Linked DNA regions of Yarrowia lipolytica. The protein of the gene in region 2 purifies or fractionates together with the protein of the main gene of each other region. This does not show direct contact. Links are inferred from orthologs where the notes say so. Each region holds a gene or a part of one and is shown on either strand. Other genes may lie near its edges.

What was found. Proteins that work in one complex are often made in the same cells at the same time.
Region 1: the proteins of YALI1_F37963g (region 2) and YALI1_E30707g purify together in Saccharomyces cerevisiae (affinity purification with mass spectrometry; 4 studies listed by BioGRID). This does not show direct contact. The link is inferred for Yarrowia lipolytica from reciprocal best matches to the Saccharomyces cerevisiae genes KRR1 and NOP6.
Region 3: the proteins of YALI1_F37963g (region 2) and YALI1_B01839g purify together in Saccharomyces cerevisiae (affinity purification with mass spectrometry; 6 studies listed by BioGRID, with this or other methods). This does not show direct contact. The link is inferred for Yarrowia lipolytica from reciprocal best matches to the Saccharomyces cerevisiae genes KRR1 and PWP2.
Region 4: the proteins of YALI1_F37963g (region 2) and YALI1_B28053g purify together in Saccharomyces cerevisiae (affinity purification with mass spectrometry, with the first as the bait; 4 studies listed by BioGRID). This does not show direct contact. The link is inferred for Yarrowia lipolytica from reciprocal best matches to the Saccharomyces cerevisiae genes KRR1 and ROK1.

What each region holds. Positions count from the first base shown.
Region 1 is NC_090774.1:3,068,772-3,073,089, reverse strand, and holds YALI1_E30707g (uncharacterized protein), read left to right. Parts: upstream 1-2,324; coding exon 2,325-3,236; downstream 3,237-4,318. Other genes in the region: YALI1_E30725g (uncharacterized protein), read right to left, coding at 1-560. UniProt on the Saccharomyces cerevisiae protein: Predicted to be involved in rRNA processing.
Region 2 is NC_090775.1:3,794,006-3,798,350, forward strand, and holds YALI1_F37963g (90S preribosome/SSU processome component KRR1), read left to right. Parts: upstream 1-2,344; coding exon 2,345-3,424; downstream 3,425-4,345. Other genes in the region: YALI1_F37929g (uncharacterized protein), read left to right, coding at 1-1,525; YALI1_F37986g (uncharacterized protein), read right to left, coding at 3,497-4,345. UniProt on the Saccharomyces cerevisiae protein: Required for 40S ribosome biogenesis. Involved in nucleolar processing of pre-18S ribosomal RNA and ribosome assembly. Essential for vegetative growth.
Region 3 is NC_090771.1:181,724-187,754, forward strand, and holds YALI1_B01839g (uncharacterized protein), read left to right. Parts: upstream 1-2,228; coding exon 2,229-4,949; downstream 4,950-6,031. Other genes in the region: YALI1_B01822g (uncharacterized protein), read right to left, coding at 297-511, 557-560; YALI1_B01826g (uncharacterized protein), read right to left, coding at 620-891, 943-1,060; YALI1_B01878g (uncharacterized protein), read right to left, coding at 5,530-6,031. UniProt on the Saccharomyces cerevisiae protein: Required for bud-site selection and cell separation. Also involved in nucleolar processing of pre-18S ribosomal RNA.
Region 4 is NC_090771.1:2,802,564-2,807,448, reverse strand, and holds YALI1_B28053g (uncharacterized protein), read left to right. Parts: upstream 1-2,159; coding exon 2,160-3,803; downstream 3,804-4,885. Other genes in the region: YALI1_B28025g (uncharacterized protein), read right to left, coding at 4,084-4,394, 4,800-4,885. UniProt on the Saccharomyces cerevisiae protein: ATP-dependent RNA helicase involved in 40S ribosomal subunit biogenesis. Required for the processing and cleavage of 35S pre-rRNA at sites A0, A1, and A2, leading to mature 18S rRNA.

The sequences.
Region 1 (4,318 bases), on a different chromosome or scaffold from region 2:
GTCTCATTGTAGAGGTTGTTGAAAATGTGCTGATCCAGCGAGATCTGGGGCTCCATGATGAGCGTATGCAGATCGAGCCACCAGAACCACTCGGCGTTGGGGAACTGGCGCATGGTCTCCTTGATGATGTCGACCTTCTGCCACGACTCTCTCCACTCGTGAGAGTATCTCTTCTTGAGACTCACGTCCTTGACGGCAAGATGGTAGCCGTGGCGCTCGGCGTATTCTCGCTTGTTTTCAATGCTGCTTCGCTCGATGGCCCACTCTTTGGCTCCCTTCCAGTGCATGACTCCTCCACCCTCGTTGGCAGCCAGGATAATCACGTACTTGCCCGAGCCCCAGTTGAAGTGCGGCACAAATGGCACGGCTGTGAAGAAGGACAGCAGGGTCAGCAGCAAAAAAATGACGACAAAGATTTTGCGCCGTATCAGGGCCGTAGCCAAACCCTCGATGAAGCCTCCCACCGTGGCGATGATCCCTCCTCGTTGCCGTCGCGACCACCCGCCCTCGGGCTTGTCCCACGCCGACACGGACGATTTGCGCCTCCAGTTCTGGCTCATTGTGTGTGTGTTTTTGTGTTTGTCGTGGTGAAGTGTATGTGTTGATGTTGTCTTTTTGGTGATGAGAGTTAATGTACAGTAGCTTGGTAGACATGCGTGTGGTGGACGTGCGTACTTTATTTCAGTTGGACCAGCATCGCTGTATTTGTAGCTAATGGACTTGGTGAACCTGGGACATGTCTTGGAAGAGCATACATACTACGTGGACGACGTAAGTCATTTCCGTGAGAATAATTACCGCTCTCTCTTGCTCCTCAATCTGGTACAGTATTACGTGTATATCTGGCGCCTTACATGTTCAACGTCACAGAATTTTTCGTCCCAAAAACCGTGTGCATACTACATACGTCATGGTGACGCTGAGATAATGAGATGATAGCGATGTAAGGACAGGTACGAGGAGCAGGACCATAGAAGATGAAGACTAGAACCGTACCAGTAGTATTGAGTGATCGCTGCACAATACCAACCCACATCTCCACCTCGTCCATCACTACAACCTATTGTTATTCACGACGATAAATATGCTCATGTGGACCAGTTACTTCTTTTCATCTTTAAGCTCCACTGACGGCTTCAAAGTGGGTACACGGCTGGTGGGCATGCTTAACGAGTACTTGTAGCTACAGTAGAGAAGAGGTTGTAGACAAGGCAATGGTACGATGCACGTGAGCTTTCACATCGAACCAGGCTTGACTGTAACCACCTCACAACTGCTTAGTCACATCCACTCACACGTGCCACCCCTACTTTTCTTTGTGCGCTTGTGCATCCTCTTGTCCATCTTCAGGGGCAACCTTTTTCACTACGAGTACATACTGTAGTTACAAGCACTGCTCCGAGGCAAGGATCGTCCTGAGTATGTGCGAGCTGATGACTGGGTGAGGTTATGAGTGGAGAGATGTTGATTATATAATAAAGAATGATGATCTGGGTACAGTGTACTGTGCAATTTGGTAAGATAGGAGTATGTACAATTGTACAATACTGTAGTTACAGATACACTGTGGTGGTGACGTAAGATACAACATTCGCCTGCACAATGGAACATATAGAAAGACTCTTATACTACGATACAAGGGGCTCCATGGTGAACGACCAAACACAATGTCTATTACTTATGCACAGAATAGCGTCTGGAATGGAACGTTGAAAGTGGGTTGGTTAACGAGAGTACACTGTGTTACTGTACTTGTTGTACTAAGAGCCACACACTGTGAGACAGATGGAGATGGCCAATTTTGTGATTAAAAAGCAAGATATAGAAAAAGAAGGGATATATTGGGCTAAACAAGCGGAGTGGTGGCGTGATATAGCTTCTGTGGCAAAAAGTCATGCAGTAGAGTGAGTGACTAGTTTACTGTAGGCTACAGTACTTTCAACCCAGGAAGCTACTTAGCCACATTGAGTACATTGCACAAGTACATTACGTAATTGTAATTACGTAATTTACAGTAGAGGGCACAGGAAGTGTAACAGGTTCGGGCACACAACAAATCGCGCGCATCTCTTGATAAGGACATTTGCGGGGTACTGTAATAACAAAACACTTCAAACAGAAGGATATAAAAACCACATGATAATTTTTTGAACACCCACAGACATAGTTTTCGCCCGTTTACTGAGAACATGTTTCTCCCTCTACTTCTTGTACTCCATCTCATCTCATGCACCCAAAGCTTATTGGGAAAAATTATGTGGTGTGCATTATCAGGCTGAAATTATTCCATTACCAGCTGTACACATCCTACAACGACTTTTACAATGGGATCCAAAGACAAGAGCAGCAAGAAGCAGGCCAAGGTGGTTGACGAGGTGACTGACGAGGTGACTGACGAGGTGAAGGCCGAAGAAACGGTCGATATCAAGACAAAAACTGACGAGACCAAGTCTGAGAAGAAGGATAAGAAGGACAAGAAGGCCGATGAGAGCAAGACTGAAGAGAACAAGACTGAAGGTAAAGCGGCTGACAAGACTGAGTCTGAAATTGACATATCGAAATTATCCAAGAAGGAGCGAAAGGCTTTGGAGTTCAAGAAGACCAAAAAGAAGATCGAGAAGGGAGAGTTAACGGTGGAGGCTCTTAAGGAGGAGAAGAAGGAGAAAAAGGAGGCCAAGAAGGCCGAGGAGGAGGAGAAGAAGGGTTCCAAGAAGCGAAAGCGGGATGGCGAGAACGGCCCTGCTGCCAAGGCGGCTCGATTTATTCTTTTCTGTGGTAACTTGCCTTATGATATCAAGGAGGAGGTGATTGCTGATCATTTTAAGACCTGCACTCCTAACAAGATTCGAATTCGAGATGCCAAGGGGTTTGCATTCCTCGAGTTTGAGGGCGACGACGCCTCCAGACGGATGAACGTTGCTCTCCGAATGCATCACTCTACTCTTATGAGACGAAAGATCAACGTGGAGTTGACTGCAGGAGGAGGAGGCAACTCATCCAACCGACGAAACAAGATCCAAGAGAAGCGACAGAAGCTGGACGACGAGCGGTCGGAGCGAATTGCTAACGAGGAGAAGGCCAAGGCTGAAGCCCAGGCCAAGGCTCGAAAGGACGAGAAGAAACAGAATCTGGCTTCGGCCCACAAGAAGGCCCACAAGGAGTTTGCTCCCCAGACCAAGAAGCCCAAGACCAGCACTCCCGGTGTCCATCCTTCTCGACAGGGTCTGATTCGGTAGAATAGAGGAATAGGCATATAGATAATGGACATAATGGAATGGTGGGAATAGGTAGTGATTAGTACAAGTACCGGTAGTTCTACGTACTGCTGCTGGGTACTACTAATAAGTCTCAAGTAAAATCGGTAATTATCGTACAGTATCGTACCAGTACTTGTATATACTGGTACGATACTCGTACCGTAGCAAAGCGATAGCCTGTTTCCATACGAATGCCTAAAAGTACGGTACTCGTACTCGTACTTGCCCGACACCGTATTGAAGTCTTACAGTAAGCTTCATCGACTACTCAGGTGTGCTCATACTTGTAGAAGAGGGTTCAAAACATACACAAAGAATGACTGAATTGAAAGCAGTTTGGCGGGATAAAGCACAAGTTACCAAATGAAGATAAAAAAAATAGATATCAGACCCATAATCACCTTGTTCGGCGGTTAATTCAAAGGCTTTGACTTGTGGCTAGAGTTTGAGACTGTGGAACTGTACGTTAACTGGAACGACCTACAAGTACCAGTAATGCGTGGAAGGGTTAAGGGAGAATGAGTAAGGGTAACAGCACTCGCCCTTGTAGCAACTACGATGCTGCTCGTGATACCGAAGGACTTGTACGAGTAACGGCAGATACTATGGACAAAATGAATACCTACGGACATGACGTTATAGACAGCTATTCATGACACCCGTCAACATCAACATATCATTCATTCCTCATGAAAGTCCGAGAAAACATCCCGTCTACATTCTCCTCTGGTCCATGAAACAGTGACAATCTCTTGGGTGATGTTTAAACCGCCTGGTGACTTCGGCTACACGTCTCGAAACGGCTGCGGGCAGTGCTCCAAGGTTGACTGGGGTGCGTGGAACTACGATAGACTCTCGGATATACACTGCTAGTATACTCACGCAGTTTATTTAGAGCGTACTGGTATTGGGCTGGATGAGTTTACAGGACAATCTTGGTCTGCTGGTGAAATGTAGGAGCGACATATATGGAACTAAGTCTATGAAAGTGATAGCACTTACCACACTGTATGTTTCGTGTAACCTGGTCTGAGGGACTTTTGTAGGTTCAATCATAGAGG
Region 2 (4,345 bases):
CAAGAAGACGCGGTCATTTGGCCACTCAAATAACCCTTTTGGAATCCACTTACATGGCCACAATGGCCTCAAAAATTCAAAGCTGGGTAAGAAGATTTCTGGAAAACGTTCGCCCAGCTCTAGCCCCAAAAACGTGGCTACTGGTTCCACTGGGTCTAACAACGTTGCCAGCTCAAGCGCAGCTATGAGTAGCAGCGCGTCTGTGAAATCCGACATGAGCTCTGTGGTTGGTGGTATGGGAAACAACAATGACGTTGGACTCTCTACCACAAACACAACTTCCACAGACAGTTCGACAGCTGCCGCTGCAGCTGCGTATGCCCCCAATGTGCCCTCTAAACAGTCGGCTCTGTTTAAGGCAAAGCTGTTTGCCAAACAAGCAAAACAACAATCGTCAGCCAAGAGTTTAAAGCCCAAACTCAAGCGCAAAGGCAACATTGACCTTACTATTCAGACACAACTCCCCAGCACTCGTCCTTCACTAGCAGAAAGAAGTCCACTGAACAGACCTTCCAAGGAACTGGAACGAATTGCAAGCATCGGCAGCAACGTACCCATCACGCCAACCATGGCGTCTGGCAGAGGAGATTACAACCATCCCTTGACAGCCGGAGCTAAGGATGACTCTCCCAGTGCGAAAAACAAGGCCCACTCCATTCTGCTGAGAGCCAAGAAGGATGTGCATTCTGCGGCTGCCTTCATGTCTTCGTCTTCGTCCAACTCCAAGCTCATCAACGAACAGGGCGGTTCCTTATACTCGTTCCAGAGCTCCTCACCTGGTGCTTTACACAAGAGTTTTTCCAGTGCTCTGGAACTCAAGAATTTCAACCAGACCAAGGAGGATAAGGAACAGCTCGCTGACGACGCATGGGCGCTTCTGTGTTCTCGAGTGCTTCCCTTGTTTTCAGGTGAAGGCATCCGAGTCCCCATTGAAGATCTCAACAAGCTGGTGGTGATGCACACTAATCTGCGGATCCAGGAGCATGTCACAGCCAAGTCTTTGTTGCAAGAATTCAAGGACCTGCTGAGATCTGGCATGTATACGCTGGACTCTACTATGTCCCGTGTGCCAGATGACAAGCTTATTGCTCACCTGACGACAGTTTGGGGTCACTTCTTCTCAGACGTGCTCCCTTACTGGGAGGGTGTCTTTCTGCCTCTTCAGCAGGAGTTCGATGGTTACGGAAAGAGCATGAAGCCCGAAGAGAGCGAGAAGTTCTGGGGTATGTTGCTCATGGACCGTGATCAGCTGAACATTCGTCTCATGACTCTGTGTGCGTTCAGAGACTACATCATTCTCCCTCACTCTGAGCGGTTGACTCGAATCATTTCCAATTTCGAGCTATCTTCTCAGGGAGCCAACACTCCCGTTAGACTCTTACAGTGTTTCTCCATCTTGGCCTCCATTCTGAGTGCTGATGCGCAACAGCAAAAGATGGACGAGCTGGTGAAGGTGCTCAAGACAGGATGGTTTTCTCGTTCCAGGGCAGGCAAGGACAGACGAGGCATGATTATCAAGGCCTAGAAACGCGAGACCCGTTATTATCTGGCCAGTTATTTATTTATATTTATTTTACTACTCAATTGTATATTATCGTAGCTTCCGTATGTGCAGTTAGTTCAAGTACAGTACAGTATTTAGCTACTGCACGCGGTGGCCAGCCCTGCTAATAATCTGAAAGCACACTATCCTGTGATATACTGTACGCCACCAAATCGTTTGTCAAAAATGCAATAAATATATTCGTAGACCTATATATCGGTCCATCTGTTAGAGGCCAAAACTGGCCAGGTCGTCCATCTGCTTCTCAAGCTCCTTCTTGGTGACGAGCCGCTTCTCTCGTTCTTCCTCCTTCTGTTTCAGAAGGGCCTCGCTCTTTTCCTTCTTCAGTGTCTCCTTGGATTTAACAGAGTAGACATCCTTGAGAGCATCTGGATCGTTGACGAGATCCAGCAGAGCCGAGTCCTTGTGTTTCTGGCTCTTCTGTTTAGGCACCGGCTTTTTGGCTGTCTTTTTTACACCACCAGTCTTGTCACGTGTTGGTCTGGAAAATGGACCTGCTCTGGCCTTTGATTTTGTCACGTTAGTCTTTGCCATGGTTGTGTAATGTCTGTGGTTGTGTTGTATGGCAACGCCTCTCAAAATATTTCTCTTTAGGTGGTTCAACGTGCATAAACTTAATTTTGGTGTGTGCCACCTCTAAACTAATTTCCCAAGTAGCTATTGATTACCTAACTACTAATTCCAATCCGCCAAACTCTGATAGAAAAAAAATTGAGTTTTCATGCGACAAATTTATCTCGTCCAAGGTAGACAGTTTCACGACACACTACACAGCCGACAATGGTCTCTACTCATAACAAAGACAAGCCATGGGATCAGCCCCACATTGATAAGTGGGCCGAGGATGAGTTCACCGAGAAGGACAACGCTTCCGGTCTGCCCTTTGCCGAGGAGTCTTCCTTCGCCACACTGTTCCCCAAGTACCGAGAAGGCTACCTAAAGGAAATCTGGGATGATGTCACCAAAGCCCTCGACCAAAAGGGTATTGCATGTGTTCTGGATCTCGTTGAGGGTTCCATGACCGTCAAAACCACCCGAAAAACTTACGATCCTTACGCCATTATGAACGCTCGAGATCTCATCAAGCTGCTGGCCCGATCGGTGCCTTTCCCCCAGGCAGTCAAGATTCTCGAGGACGGCATTGCATGTGACGTTATCAAGATTGGTAACTTCACCAGCAACAAGGAGAGATTTGTCAAGCGACGACAGCGTCTTCTTGGACCCAACGGTAACACTCTCAAGGCCCTGGAACTGCTCACACAGTGCTATATCCTTGTTCAGGGTAACACCGTCTCTGTCATGGGTCCCTACACACATATGAAGACTCTGCGACGAGTGATTGAGGACTGTATGATGAACATCCACCCCATTTACCACATCAAGGAGCTCATGATCAAGCGAGAGCTGGCCAAGCGACCCGAGCTAGCCGAGGAGGACTGGAGCCGTTTCCTGCCCCAGTTCAAGAAGCGAAATGTTGCTCGAAAGAAGCCCAAGACCATCAAGAACAAGGTTCGAACCGCTTTCCCTCCTGCCCAGCTGCCCCGAAAGGTGGATTTGCAGATCGAGTCTGGAGAGTTCTTCTTGGGTGCCGATGAGAAGCGACGACGAGCCGACGAGGAGAAGCGACAACAGCAGGCTGCTCGAAGTGCAGAGAAGCAGGCCCAGAGAGAGCTGGCCTTCATTGCGCCAGACGAGGACGAAGAGAAGGCCAAGAAGGAAAAGAAGAAGGAGAAGAAGGAAAAGAAGGAAAAGAAGGAAAAGAAGGAGAAGAAGGAGAAGAAGGAGAAGAAGCGAAAGAGCGATGACAGCGACGATGAGGGAGAGAAAAAGAAGAAGAAGAAGAAGCGATCCGTGGAGTAGCTTGCTTGTTCAGTAAAATAGATTTGTAATGCATAACTTGGTTAAAATAAATTAACTAGCTAGGCTAGAGAGCTATTCTAAAGTGCACCAACCTCGACCATCATTAACCTGGTAGTTACACAGTCCAGGCTCAAGCCAGAGACTGACTAGACCAGCAAGAACAATACCGGCAGAATCACTCATACCAACACTACCAAGAGCAAACTCTCGCTCTGCCAAATCAGCCTGTTCGGTAATCAGCAGAAAGGTGTTGACATAGGCAGCTCCCCCAAGCAGCCCTTCGTAGAATATGAGAATGAACACCAGCCAGACGTTGGGTAATATCGGTGACATAGACTGTGCAATGCAAAACACGAGGTTGGCAAACTGGAGCACTGAGGGGATCATAATTCGTCTAATTCTCACAAATGGTGCACTCGAACGTGAGATAAATACTCCCAACTGGTATAGTGTTCCATAGGTCACATAGACATCTCTGAACTTAGAAAAGGGCAACTCTTCCATGGGAAACAGAAGTGTGGGTGCCACTCCCTGGTTGATGGTGTACTCGGAAAAGTAGACCAGAAACAAAGGCAGCATGTAAGGCATAACCAGCGGCTTCAAACGGACCATTGTAGTTTCGTATCCAGAAGCAACAAACTCCCAGGTGATTGGCTGTGTTTCAATACCTGTTTCAGGGTCATTGCTGTGCACAGGGAAGGCCCCTGGTACACGGTTATAATCTCTAGGAGGAAGGAGATAGAAGTAGACTCCTAAGAAGGCCAGGGGAAAGAATGCAAAGACAAGCAATGACGTCTTGACTGAAACTCCGAGTACCGTGGTCAAGAGCATGAACAGCCCGCTACCCACTAGCCCTGCACCTCCAGTTCCGCTGCTCCACCCATTGAGAGCCCTGGTATCGTAAAAATGGGTTAATTGGAG
Region 3 (6,031 bases), on a different chromosome or scaffold from region 2:
CAACTATACTGTTATCCCTAGTTGAATACCTAACTAAAGTATGAACTGGCAAACCCTTTGAATACTGCGTCTTGGAGAGAGTCCCGATTCGAACGCCGAGACATGCGAAATGGAGCTGAAACCGCTGCGAACCCATGCCTAACTCCCCTCGTCCCATTTAACCGGTCCAATCCCAAGCTGGACCCACCTCCATTCAACCTCCCCCCACCCCCCTCTCCACTCTGTAAATAACTCATCTCCCTCCAAACACCAAAAGACGCGTGGCTACAAAAGTAAATCCCCCCGTCCCGCTCATTTCAGCCCTTTCCGCACATCTCTAATACCGTGTTAATCGCCCCAGGGTTTATTTCGCTCCAATGGTAAATGGCGCAATCGAACCGGACCGCCGCAACCACAACCAAACATGGCGACTCCAAACCACATAAATGACTCCCTATCGGCGGGAAAACCATACAATTCTGTCCTTTGAACCGAAGTGAGACAAGTCCGCTTTTCAAAATCAACCTAGCCCCTCTCCTCGCCCCTCAGGCGGCTTATCTCCGATAACTCCGAGCACACATGCACCCTGCAACAGTCACTCCAGCAACTCTAGCAACTCCAGCAACAGCAACTCCAGCACTCAGCTGGCGGTCGCAACAACCATCTGAGACCCCCAAGATTGCTCACACGCCAACCGTCCCCGGATCAACCCCTTTAAACCCACTCCAAACGCGTCGCTCATAATTGCTCCCCCAAACCCTCTACTTTTCAGTACAAAAACGGAAATACAGATACAGCAGAAAATGCACGCCAAATGAGAGCTTGAGGCAATCAAGAATGGGAAAATATCTCGCTTCCCCCGACGGTCACGTGACGTTCCCGGATCGTTGAGCCTCAACTTTGTCAATATTACTTTGATTGGAATTTCGACGCCGGAAATCGTCTAGTCAGCTCGAGACAAACCCAACGACACCCCGAACGGCCACATTATCTCCTCCGGGTCCGAACATGTCGCGCGGAATCTTGGGCGTCGCAGTTCTCCTGCACGTATACGGCAATCTGTAAACCTTATTTCCAACATGAGCCGAGGTACAACAACAGCAACAGTGGATATTGTGGTCTCAATGTTGCTCGAAATCACTAGATATCAAAGCTGGAAGTTTCTGGAACAATAATTAGTCTCCAGGATAAATTTCACGTTATCAGCTTTCGAACTAAAAAAGTTAGACCATCGTCTAAACTTAGCAGTGATGGAAGTCTACAATACCGATTTTGGGGACCTGATAGTGGTCGGAGAAAGATAAAAATGCCACCATTGAACTCTCCGCAAGCCAGGGAGTATTTTGATATAATTATATAAGCCATAAAGCCACTGGATCAAAAACTACCAGACTCCTAATTCCACACAACCATCCCAGACTAATGTCGCTAGTGGGGACCCTGAACGTGATTGCAAAAGGGCGTGGCGGAGAAGAGATGAATCACGGGACTTGAACAAGGAGTCGAGAGCTTTTTTCTCTGCGAGTCTGATGGTTCTTTTAGAATTCCTATGCGTCCATTATTCGTCGAGTTGGTCTTGACCGGTTCACTATTGGATGGGGCTAGAGTACTGATCCAGCAAGATCCATCTATATCCACGAATAGTGCTCCGATTGGACTCGGAAGAGGGTCATTATGTTTCTATGGTTGGCGGGATCAATACTACGATTGTTTCCGTTGATGTCATTGGCTATTTGTACTGTGTTTATGCGATCATTGGTTAGTGGTCCTACAGAGTCCATTCACAGTGGCCAGTGCGATCCAAACATGTTCACAATCACCACAAATGTAATTCAAACGTATCATGTCGTTGAGAATCATCCGGAGACCACAAAATGAGGTACATCTTTCCCATTTCTCTTTTCTACCAACCACAACGAGTGACTTCAATTCACGCTCATTTATTTCGATTTATTTAAATAAGATTTTTCACTGAAAAATATTGCCACTCTGACTCTTCCGGCCCAACATTGCAACGACAACTCCCACAGAAAATCCAAACATATCATTTTGTTCGTCTCGACGAGAGTAACGCAATGATACCCTTCAACTCTCTCCGACGTGCTCCCCCCTCAGGCACAGATTATGACCTCTTCCGCCCTCCCCCAAACCTTGTTTAAAAAAAATCGAAATCGTGCATATTTTTTCTACTCACACAACTCCACCCAGACAACAGAACCACCTAGACACATTTCCCGTACTACACAGACATGAAGGCGGACTACAAATTTTCGAATCTGTTGGGGACCGTGTATCGGCAGGGAAACCTGGTGTTTACGCCTGACGGCACGGCGCTGCTTTCGCCGGTGGGCAACCGGGTGTCGTATTTCGATCTGGTGAAGAACACCTCCTTCACGTTCCCGTACGAGCACCGGCGCAACATCACGTGCATTGCTCTGAATGCGCAGGGCTCGCTGATGCTGACAGTGTCGGACGACGGCAAGGCGATTCTGGTCAACTTCAAGCGACGGACGGTGATCCATCATTTCAATTTCCGCGACGTGGTGTCGGACGTTCAATTTTCGCCGGACTCGCAGTACTTTGCCATCAACATTGGTGCGCGGCTGGAGGTGTGGGCGATCCCCAGCGACACAAACAGCCGCTCGTTTGCGCCGTTTGTGCGCCACAAGCGCTACGAGGGCCATTTTGCCGAGATCACGTCGATTACGTGGTCCGACGACTCGCGGTTCTTTCTGACCACGTCCAAGGACTTGACGTGCCGCGTGTGGTCGCTGATGGATAAGGACTCGGGCGCCGCAGCAACGCTGGGCGGTCATCGAGACACCATCACCAACGCCTTCTTTTCGCAGGACCAGGAGACCATCTACACGGTATCCAAGGACGGCGCCTGTTTCGAGTGGGCGTATGACGATAACGACGACGGTGACGACGGCTTTGTGGGGTGGAAAATCAAAGACCGGCACTACTTCCACCAGCAGTCGGTGCTCAAGTGCTCGGCGTTCCACGCCAAATCGAACATTCTGGTGGTGGGGTTTGCCAACGGCACCTTTGCCATGTACGAGCTGCCGTCCATGACGCAGATCCAGACCATGTCCGTGTCTCAGCACGGCATTGACTTTGTTACCATCAACTCCACGGGAGAGTGGATGGCGCTGGGCGCGAGCAAGCTGGGCCAGCTGCTGGTGTGGGAGTGGCAATCCGAGTCGTACATTCTCAAGCAGCAGGGCCACTTTGACTCTATGAACTCCCTCGTGTACTCTCCGGACGGCAGCAAGGTGGTAACCGCGTCGGAGGACGGCAAAATCAAGCTGTGGGACACCTCGTCGGGGTTCTGCCTGGTCACGTTCACCGAGCACTCGGCAGCGGTCACCGCCCTGGAGTTCTCCCGCAAGGGCAACGTGTTGTTTTCGGCGTCCTTGGACGGCTCCGTGCGCGCCTGGGATCTCATTCGGTACCGCAACTTCCGCACCTTTGCTGCCCCCGAGCGAGTCCAGTTTTCGTCCCTGGCCGTGGACCCCTCCGGCGAGGTGGTGTGCGCTGGCTCGCTGGACAACTTTGACATCTACGTGTGGAGTGTGCAGACAAGCCAATTGCTGGACACGCTGGCCGGACACGAGGGTCCCGTCTCGTGTCTGTCTTTTGGCGCCGAAATCGCCAACGCGTCAATTCTGGCCTCCGCGTCGTGGGACCACACGGTGCGGGTGTGGAACATTTTTGCGCGTACGCAGACGGTGGAGCCGTTCCAGCTCACGTCGGACGTGCTCCAGGTGGTGATGCGGCCCGACTCCAAGCAGCTGTCGGTGTCCACACTCAACGGCGAAATCTCCGTGTGGGACATTGAGGAGGGCAAGCAGGTGGGTAGCATTGATGGAGCCAAGGACATTAGCGGTGGGCGGCACTCGTCGGACCGGTTCTCTGCCAAAAACTCGGCGCGCTCCAAGTACTTTACCTGCATGACCTACTCCGCCGACGGCAAGTGTCTGATTGCCGGCGGCAACTCGCGGTTCATTTGCCTGTACGACGTGCAGTCGGGCGTCTTGCTCAAGCGGTTCGAGGTGTCGCGAAATATGTCTCTGGAGGGCACTCTAGACTACCTCAACTCAAAGAACATGACCGAGGCCGGCGCTCTGAATCTGATCAACGACCCAGACGGGTCCGACTGGGAGGACCGCGTGGACGACACTCTTCCGGGCGTGGTTCGCGGCGACAAGTCCAAACGACGCACCCGGCCCGAGATTCGTACCACCGGCATCAAGTTCTCGCCCACCGGTCGCCAGTTTGCTGCAGCCTCCACCGAGGGTCTGCTCATGTACTCCATCGACGACGAGCTCATGTTCGATCCCTTTGATCTGGACGTGGACGTGACTCCCCAGACCACGATGGAGGCGCTGGAAAACAAGGAGTATCTGATTGCGCTGGTCATGGCCCATCGACTGAACGTTCCGCGGCTCATTCAGCGTGTCTACGAGTCCATTCCCGTCGACACCATTGAGCGGGTCGCGCGGGGACTTCCGGTCGTCTATCTCGAAAGGTTTCTGCGATTCCTGGCCTCTGCAACTGAGGCTACTCCCCATGCCGAGTTCCATCTGCGGTGGATCAAGGCCGTGATTACCGCGCATGGGCGGCACATGGCCCAGCGCAAGCACGAGTACGCCCAGGTGTTGCGGGCGGTGCAGAAGTTTGTCACCCGGGTCAACAAGGAGGTTGCTCGACTGGCGGGCACCAACGGGTATTCTGCCGAGTTTTTGCTCGGGTCGAAGCCGTCTGTTCCGGTCGACGAGTCCAGAATGATTACTGGAGAGCCCGACGAGGTTCTGGTTCCCATCGAGACCGAAATGGAGGTTGAAGACGAGGATGATGACGATGATGATGACGAGGAGGGCTGGTTTGGCCCAGAGTCCAAGAATGATGCTTTTGCTCAGATGGATGTTGATGAGGATGATGATGATGAGGAGGAGGAGGATGAGTAAGCAGGACGGGTGAGAACCACGGCGCCTAGGCCTGGAGCTGGAGGGCTCTGACTTACGTTGGTTCGGCTCGGAGATATCGCACCAGGTCATCCAAAAGTGCGGGTCAGGCTCTGCAAGTCGACTAATGTGCCCATCAGAATGCCGTTTTGGCATCGGCTCTGGCGTCACTCTAGCACAACGTCTGCCGACTGAAGTTGCACAAAAATATTAATAGATTGTTTTATTGACCTCATAAGTAGATTGTACTGTACCGGCACAGTACCTCAGCTGTAGTTTGTACTTGTAGCGTTTTTTCAGAATTTTTTATTTATTTATTTATTTATTTTTTATTTTTTACCTTTTTTTTATTCAAGATAAATAATTCAGATATCCATATCCAAGTATTCCTCCTAAATGGCCCGAAAGCACACAGACAGACTGATATTGAGACACAGACAGACCTAGACAGACACGGACAGACACAGAAAGACGCAGAGAGAGATGGAGACACTGTACAACTAACACAGCATCCAGAGGCAACTTCTTAAGCATAGTCATTACCCACACCGATGCACCCACGATAATCGTATTGGAACACCATCTAGAAGATCTCAAGGGTACTTGGTGGAACCACAGTCTTGTCACCACCACCACAAGTGCTTTCCTCATTACATCTTCGACTGAGTGTACTCTGCACTTCGGAAACCCTCTCCACAATACCGTCCGTTCCTCTCTCACTCCCTATCCTACAACGACTGTACCACTCCCCTTTACCCGTGAGCAAGGAGACGTTGTCGCTCTTCAGAATCGATACTCCACCTGATGAAAGCTGCGGTACAACTGTCTGTGGTCGACAAGGCCCTCGAGCAGCATTAACCGACTCTCCCAGTCTGTCCTCAAGTACAAAGATCTGCCGTTCAGGATGGACCCACTTCCAGCTCGCCAGCTGACCACCGTTGGCAAGCGAGCCACACTGGATCCAGGAGCTCTTGCGAAACCCGCAGTTAGCCCGAGATGTCAAGGGGCTCACACAACCACTCTCATATTCTAGTCGTGGGACAGATTTGTTTGGAGAATTGCGTGAACTAAACGAAAAGTACCAC
Region 4 (4,885 bases), on a different chromosome or scaffold from region 2:
CTGGAAGTCCAGGCTCTGTGGCGGTTGTGCTAAAACAACAAGACGGGTGGTTTTAGGCCGCAGAAGGCCGTTTTTTTATTGCTCCTTGGTTTGTGAAAACACTGCTGCCTGTAGTTATTTGCCAACCTTTCTTTTTCTGGATCACCCCACCTCGACCAGCAAGATGAGGTAGAGTAACTAACGAGAAGATCGCCTCTCTCGAGGAGCGCCATACAGGTATACATTATTACCCTGCCAAAAGACAAAAGATTAACCCAACTTAATCTCTCGGAAAGGATCTGGGATACCACCCACAGAGTTAGGCCTCAGCATAACATCTGCAGTTGGAGATAGCGGAGAGTCGCAAGTCGCCCAAGGCAATTTGCCTTGTGCTTTTGCCCAAACAAGAACAAGGCGCACTCTACATGATATTAGAAAATGCTGGAATGTCCAGAGGATGGTTTTATGGCTTAGAAGGGGAACGCCACGGCCATCGTAGTCCGACTTTTAGGCTTCCTTTAAATCGGTTAATCTTACCTACACAAGGAGCTTTCCACAGACCAAAACCATTTTGACACTGCACCAGCTTGTTATGGGTATGGTAGACACAAATCACCGACAAAAGAGCTCCCCACTAGCATAGTGCTATCATCCCCGGTCCTTGTCCTGCTAGCTCGCACAAGCACACCTCTAAAGAGTGCTAATTTGTTTGACAGCTCCAAGACGGTACAATAGGCAACATAGAGCCCATCTGACAGCCCAGTATGAAACACGAACGTTGACCAGAGAACAACGGTAGCGTGCAGAAGTTTGCTTGAAAACACGAGATTTGCCGCCACGTGCAAATTCCGGAGTGTCTGTCAGATGGTGTCCACATAACCGCGCTGTGGCCCCTAATTTCCAGAATCAATGTAGCATCTTGAGGAGGATAAGTTACACAACGAAGATCAGAGGCTGCTCCACTAGGTCGGCGGTCTCAAGTTAGTTTGTGTCTATTTTTAGTTGGTCAGACTTGATAATAGTCTCTCAGTCTGTGAGCTCAAAATAGGAGCCTCATAGTCTGGACTGGCACACAATAATTTCTTAGTCTCCGACCGCCTGCCAGCCCAGTGACAATAACTCTGTACAATGACAAGGGTTGAAGAGGAGTACAAGTACTTGTATAACTAGTTGTACTGTACAGCCGCTCCTCGTCCTCGAACATACGCTTCAAATCAACTCAACTGGCCGCAAGGGGTCGAACAGGGTTACCTTCTAAGTTGACATTCGATCGCAGACTTGTTACAGCTGTTGCAGTTATATTTCCCTGTGGCAGTAGAGAGAGGCCTTTACAGTGTTCGTGACAATTCTACTAATGAAAACCGATAGACAAGCTATCCAACGCTCTATCATAAGAGCTCTGCTATCTTATATGACTCATTAGGGTCTATCAGCCCCGTATAGAGGAATAATATATGAAAAATGAGCCAAGAAGGTGCTGGTGCGCGCCCCCACAATCCCAAAGTTGACGACTATCGCATCCCACTCCGTATAGCATCAATTGGAATGTTGTACATTTAATATTTTCATTTGTCGAGCCCGTAAAATGTTCGGATCCAATTCTGTAACCGTTATATTAGCTTATCTTGTAGCCTTTAGCCCACCCGAGTAGAAGGGTTTAAAACGAAGTGTCCACCAGGGGTTTTCAAGGACGATATCGGCTATTGGTGCCGTTAGATACCGCGGGGGTCTGTAGCCTCGGTTAGAGGAAAAGTGGCGTGATCTCGTTGGCGCAGGTCTAGAAGAATGTGATTCTTACTGTAGCTGTAGGCCAGCTATTGGTTACGTTACTGTAATTCACTTGAAGGCTTGTTGAGAGAAGTAACTACAAGTAAAAGTGAAGTCCTTTGCAGATAACTGCAGGGAGGTTTGTTAGTTGCAATCGCGTATACTTGGAAAATATCACATGCAGATAAGAAACGCTCACATAATACAATGCAGAATTTGCCGAAACTAAACACTTTTGATAACTACGTACTCTCTTAATAAATCCGCCTAATACTCGCCACCGTAGTCCCCAACACTTACTCAGCGAGGATAGGCCGTTTTAAGTTTCACCTCCCAACCTTATACAAAAAAATCTCGAGAGTGCATGAGCATCGTTTTCAGGTGAAAATACATTACCACTCACCACATACACCATGGATATCTTCAAAGTACTATCTCGAGGAGCCACGATCCAGCGAAACGGTAAACACAGGAAGGACCTGACTCTGCTCAACCACGCTGCTCCCAAAGACACCCAGGACAATGTCGACATTGAAGTTGCCCGAGAAACCGACTTTTTCAAGACCAAGACAGACACTTACTCCAAGAAGCGAGTAGCTGAGGAGGCTGAGCTGGACAATGAAGAGGAGGAAGAGGCTCCCCCGCCCATTATCAGTACTCCCGAGGAGGCTGTGGTTTTCCGAAACAAGCACAAGATCAACATCACCGGAGAAGACTCCCCTCTGCCCATTGGGTCGTTTGAAGACCTCATCACTCGATTCAACTTGCATCCCTATCTTCTGGCCAACCTCAAGAAGAACAAGTACACAGACCCTACCCCGATCCAGTGCGAGAGTATCCCTACAATGCTGAACGGCCGAGATCTGATTGCCTGTGCTCCAACTGGTTCCGGTAAGACTATGGCCTACAGCATCCCCATGGTGGAGATGCTGGGTAAGAAGAAGGGCTCCAAGGACGCTAAGAAGGGAATCAAGGCACTGGTGGTTGCCCCCACCAAGGAGCTGGCGTCTCAGATCTTCAACGCTGTGTTCTCGCTCTGCGTGGGTGTTGGAAAAAAGAAGGACGAGCTGAAACCCTGCTTGCTGGACAAGAGCACGGCCGACAAGCTGCGAAACGGAAAAGTCAGCTCCCAGAAATACGACATTTGCATTACCACCCCCCTGAGACTGGTCTCCGCCCTCAACGACGGCAGCCTGGACCTTGGATCCCTGGATCTGGTCATCTTCGATGAGGCCGACAAGCTGTTTGAGAAGGGCTTTGCCACCCAGGTCGATGACATTCTGGCAGCATGCCCCTCGGGTATTCAGAAGACTCTGTTCTCCGCAACCATTCCTGCCTCTGTCGAGCAGCTGGCAAACAGTATCATGAGCACCGACCCTCTACGTATCATTATCGGTAACAAGCAGGCTGCTGCCCAGACCGTTGAGCAGAAGCTGGTGTATGCTGGAAACGAGGAAGGTAAGCTTGTGGCTATCCGACAAATGGCCCGAGAGGGTCAGCTTGTGGCCCCTGTCATCATCTTCCTGCAGTCCATCGACCGAGCCAAGGCACTGTTCAAGGAGCTGGTTTTCGACGGAATCAACGTCGACCAGATCCATGGAGACATGACTGCGGCCAAGCGAGCTTCCGTCATCGACCGTTTCCGAAACGGAGAAGTCTGGGTGCTAATCTGTACCGACGTTCTGGCCCGAGGTATCGATTTCCGAGGCATCAACCTGGTCATCAACTACGATGTACCCCAGTCTGCACAGTCTTACGTGCATCGAATCGGACGAACCGGTCGAGCTGGCCGACTCGGCAAGGCCGTCACCTTCTTCACCAAGGAGGACGCTACCAATGTCAAGGTGGTAGTCAATGTCATGAAGCAGTCTGGACAGGAGGTACCCGACTGGCTCAACAACCTCGCTCCCCTGACTCAGAAGGAGCGAGACAACATCAAAAACAGACCCATCAAACGAAAGAAGATCTCTACTCAACATGCTCTGGCTAACAACAAGAAGAAGCGGGCCAAACAGCAGATGAAGGGTCTCAAGAAGATGAAGAAGGACGACGAATAAGTTATTGTGGACCGCCTAGGCCATGCTATAGACTAATGTACATCAGATAAATGGAGCGAGCTGTCGTAGAGATGTATTAAAGCTGACGTGCGATCTGTGTCTGTACGCCCTTCACTTTCCATACGATGCAAGCCATACACACAGGCAGATAATTAGCTGTTACAAGTATATAGGTCAGATACTGGAAAAACGACACCGTTAAAACCACTCAGGAACAATTCAATAGAAACGCAAAGCGTCAGTTTTAAATTACATGTTAATCGGATTTCTAATGTCCAATTTAGTGCTTGTCAGCAGAGGGGACCTTGTAGCCAATGACGTTTCGTCGGCCGATAACCTCACCGAGGGTGAAGAGACCGAGGATCTGGACACCGTAGGCAGTGTATCGGAGAGCGTCAGTCTTGGTGATGGACTCAGCACAGTCAATGACCTTCTGGGGCTTGAGGGCGTAAGACTTGACGGAGTTGAACAGGTTCTGGTAGACAGACTGGAACTGAGAAAGAGAGGGGGGAGCAAAGCCCTCCTTGAGGTAGATCTGCTTTCCGAGCTCACCGGTGACCTTGGCCCAGTAGACGGCACAGTTGGTGATGCCTGAGTTAGTATAATGTTGGGGGTTGACTGCCTTGGAGTAGTGGCATGATTCGAGGAGTAGAACAGATACAGATTCCCGGAGTGGATAGGGTGTTGATCGGAGTACTGAACGAGATTGATTCCAATGAGGTGGGCCGCTGATGACACTGGAACTGCTAACGATGTCGCACTAGTGTACTCGTCTCTATCACGTGTCTAGTGTCGTCGTTCACAACTTCCGACACGTCAAGCTGATGAAACACCATCTGGTAGCACCGGTAAACACCACAATCACATCCAATCAAAACAGGACACTCTCGTGCCACACTCTCCTTGCACTTGTCCATCCCCGACCCCCATATACGCAGCTGTGTTGCTTGTTATCGCCGGAAAATCGAAAAGTCTCCTAGCTCGAGAAATACTCACCCTGGACCTTGGCTCCGAGACCCTGGGCCTTGGAGGCAGCCTTGGAGGCAGCGGTGGACTGGAATCGCACCTGCTGGAAAACGCCA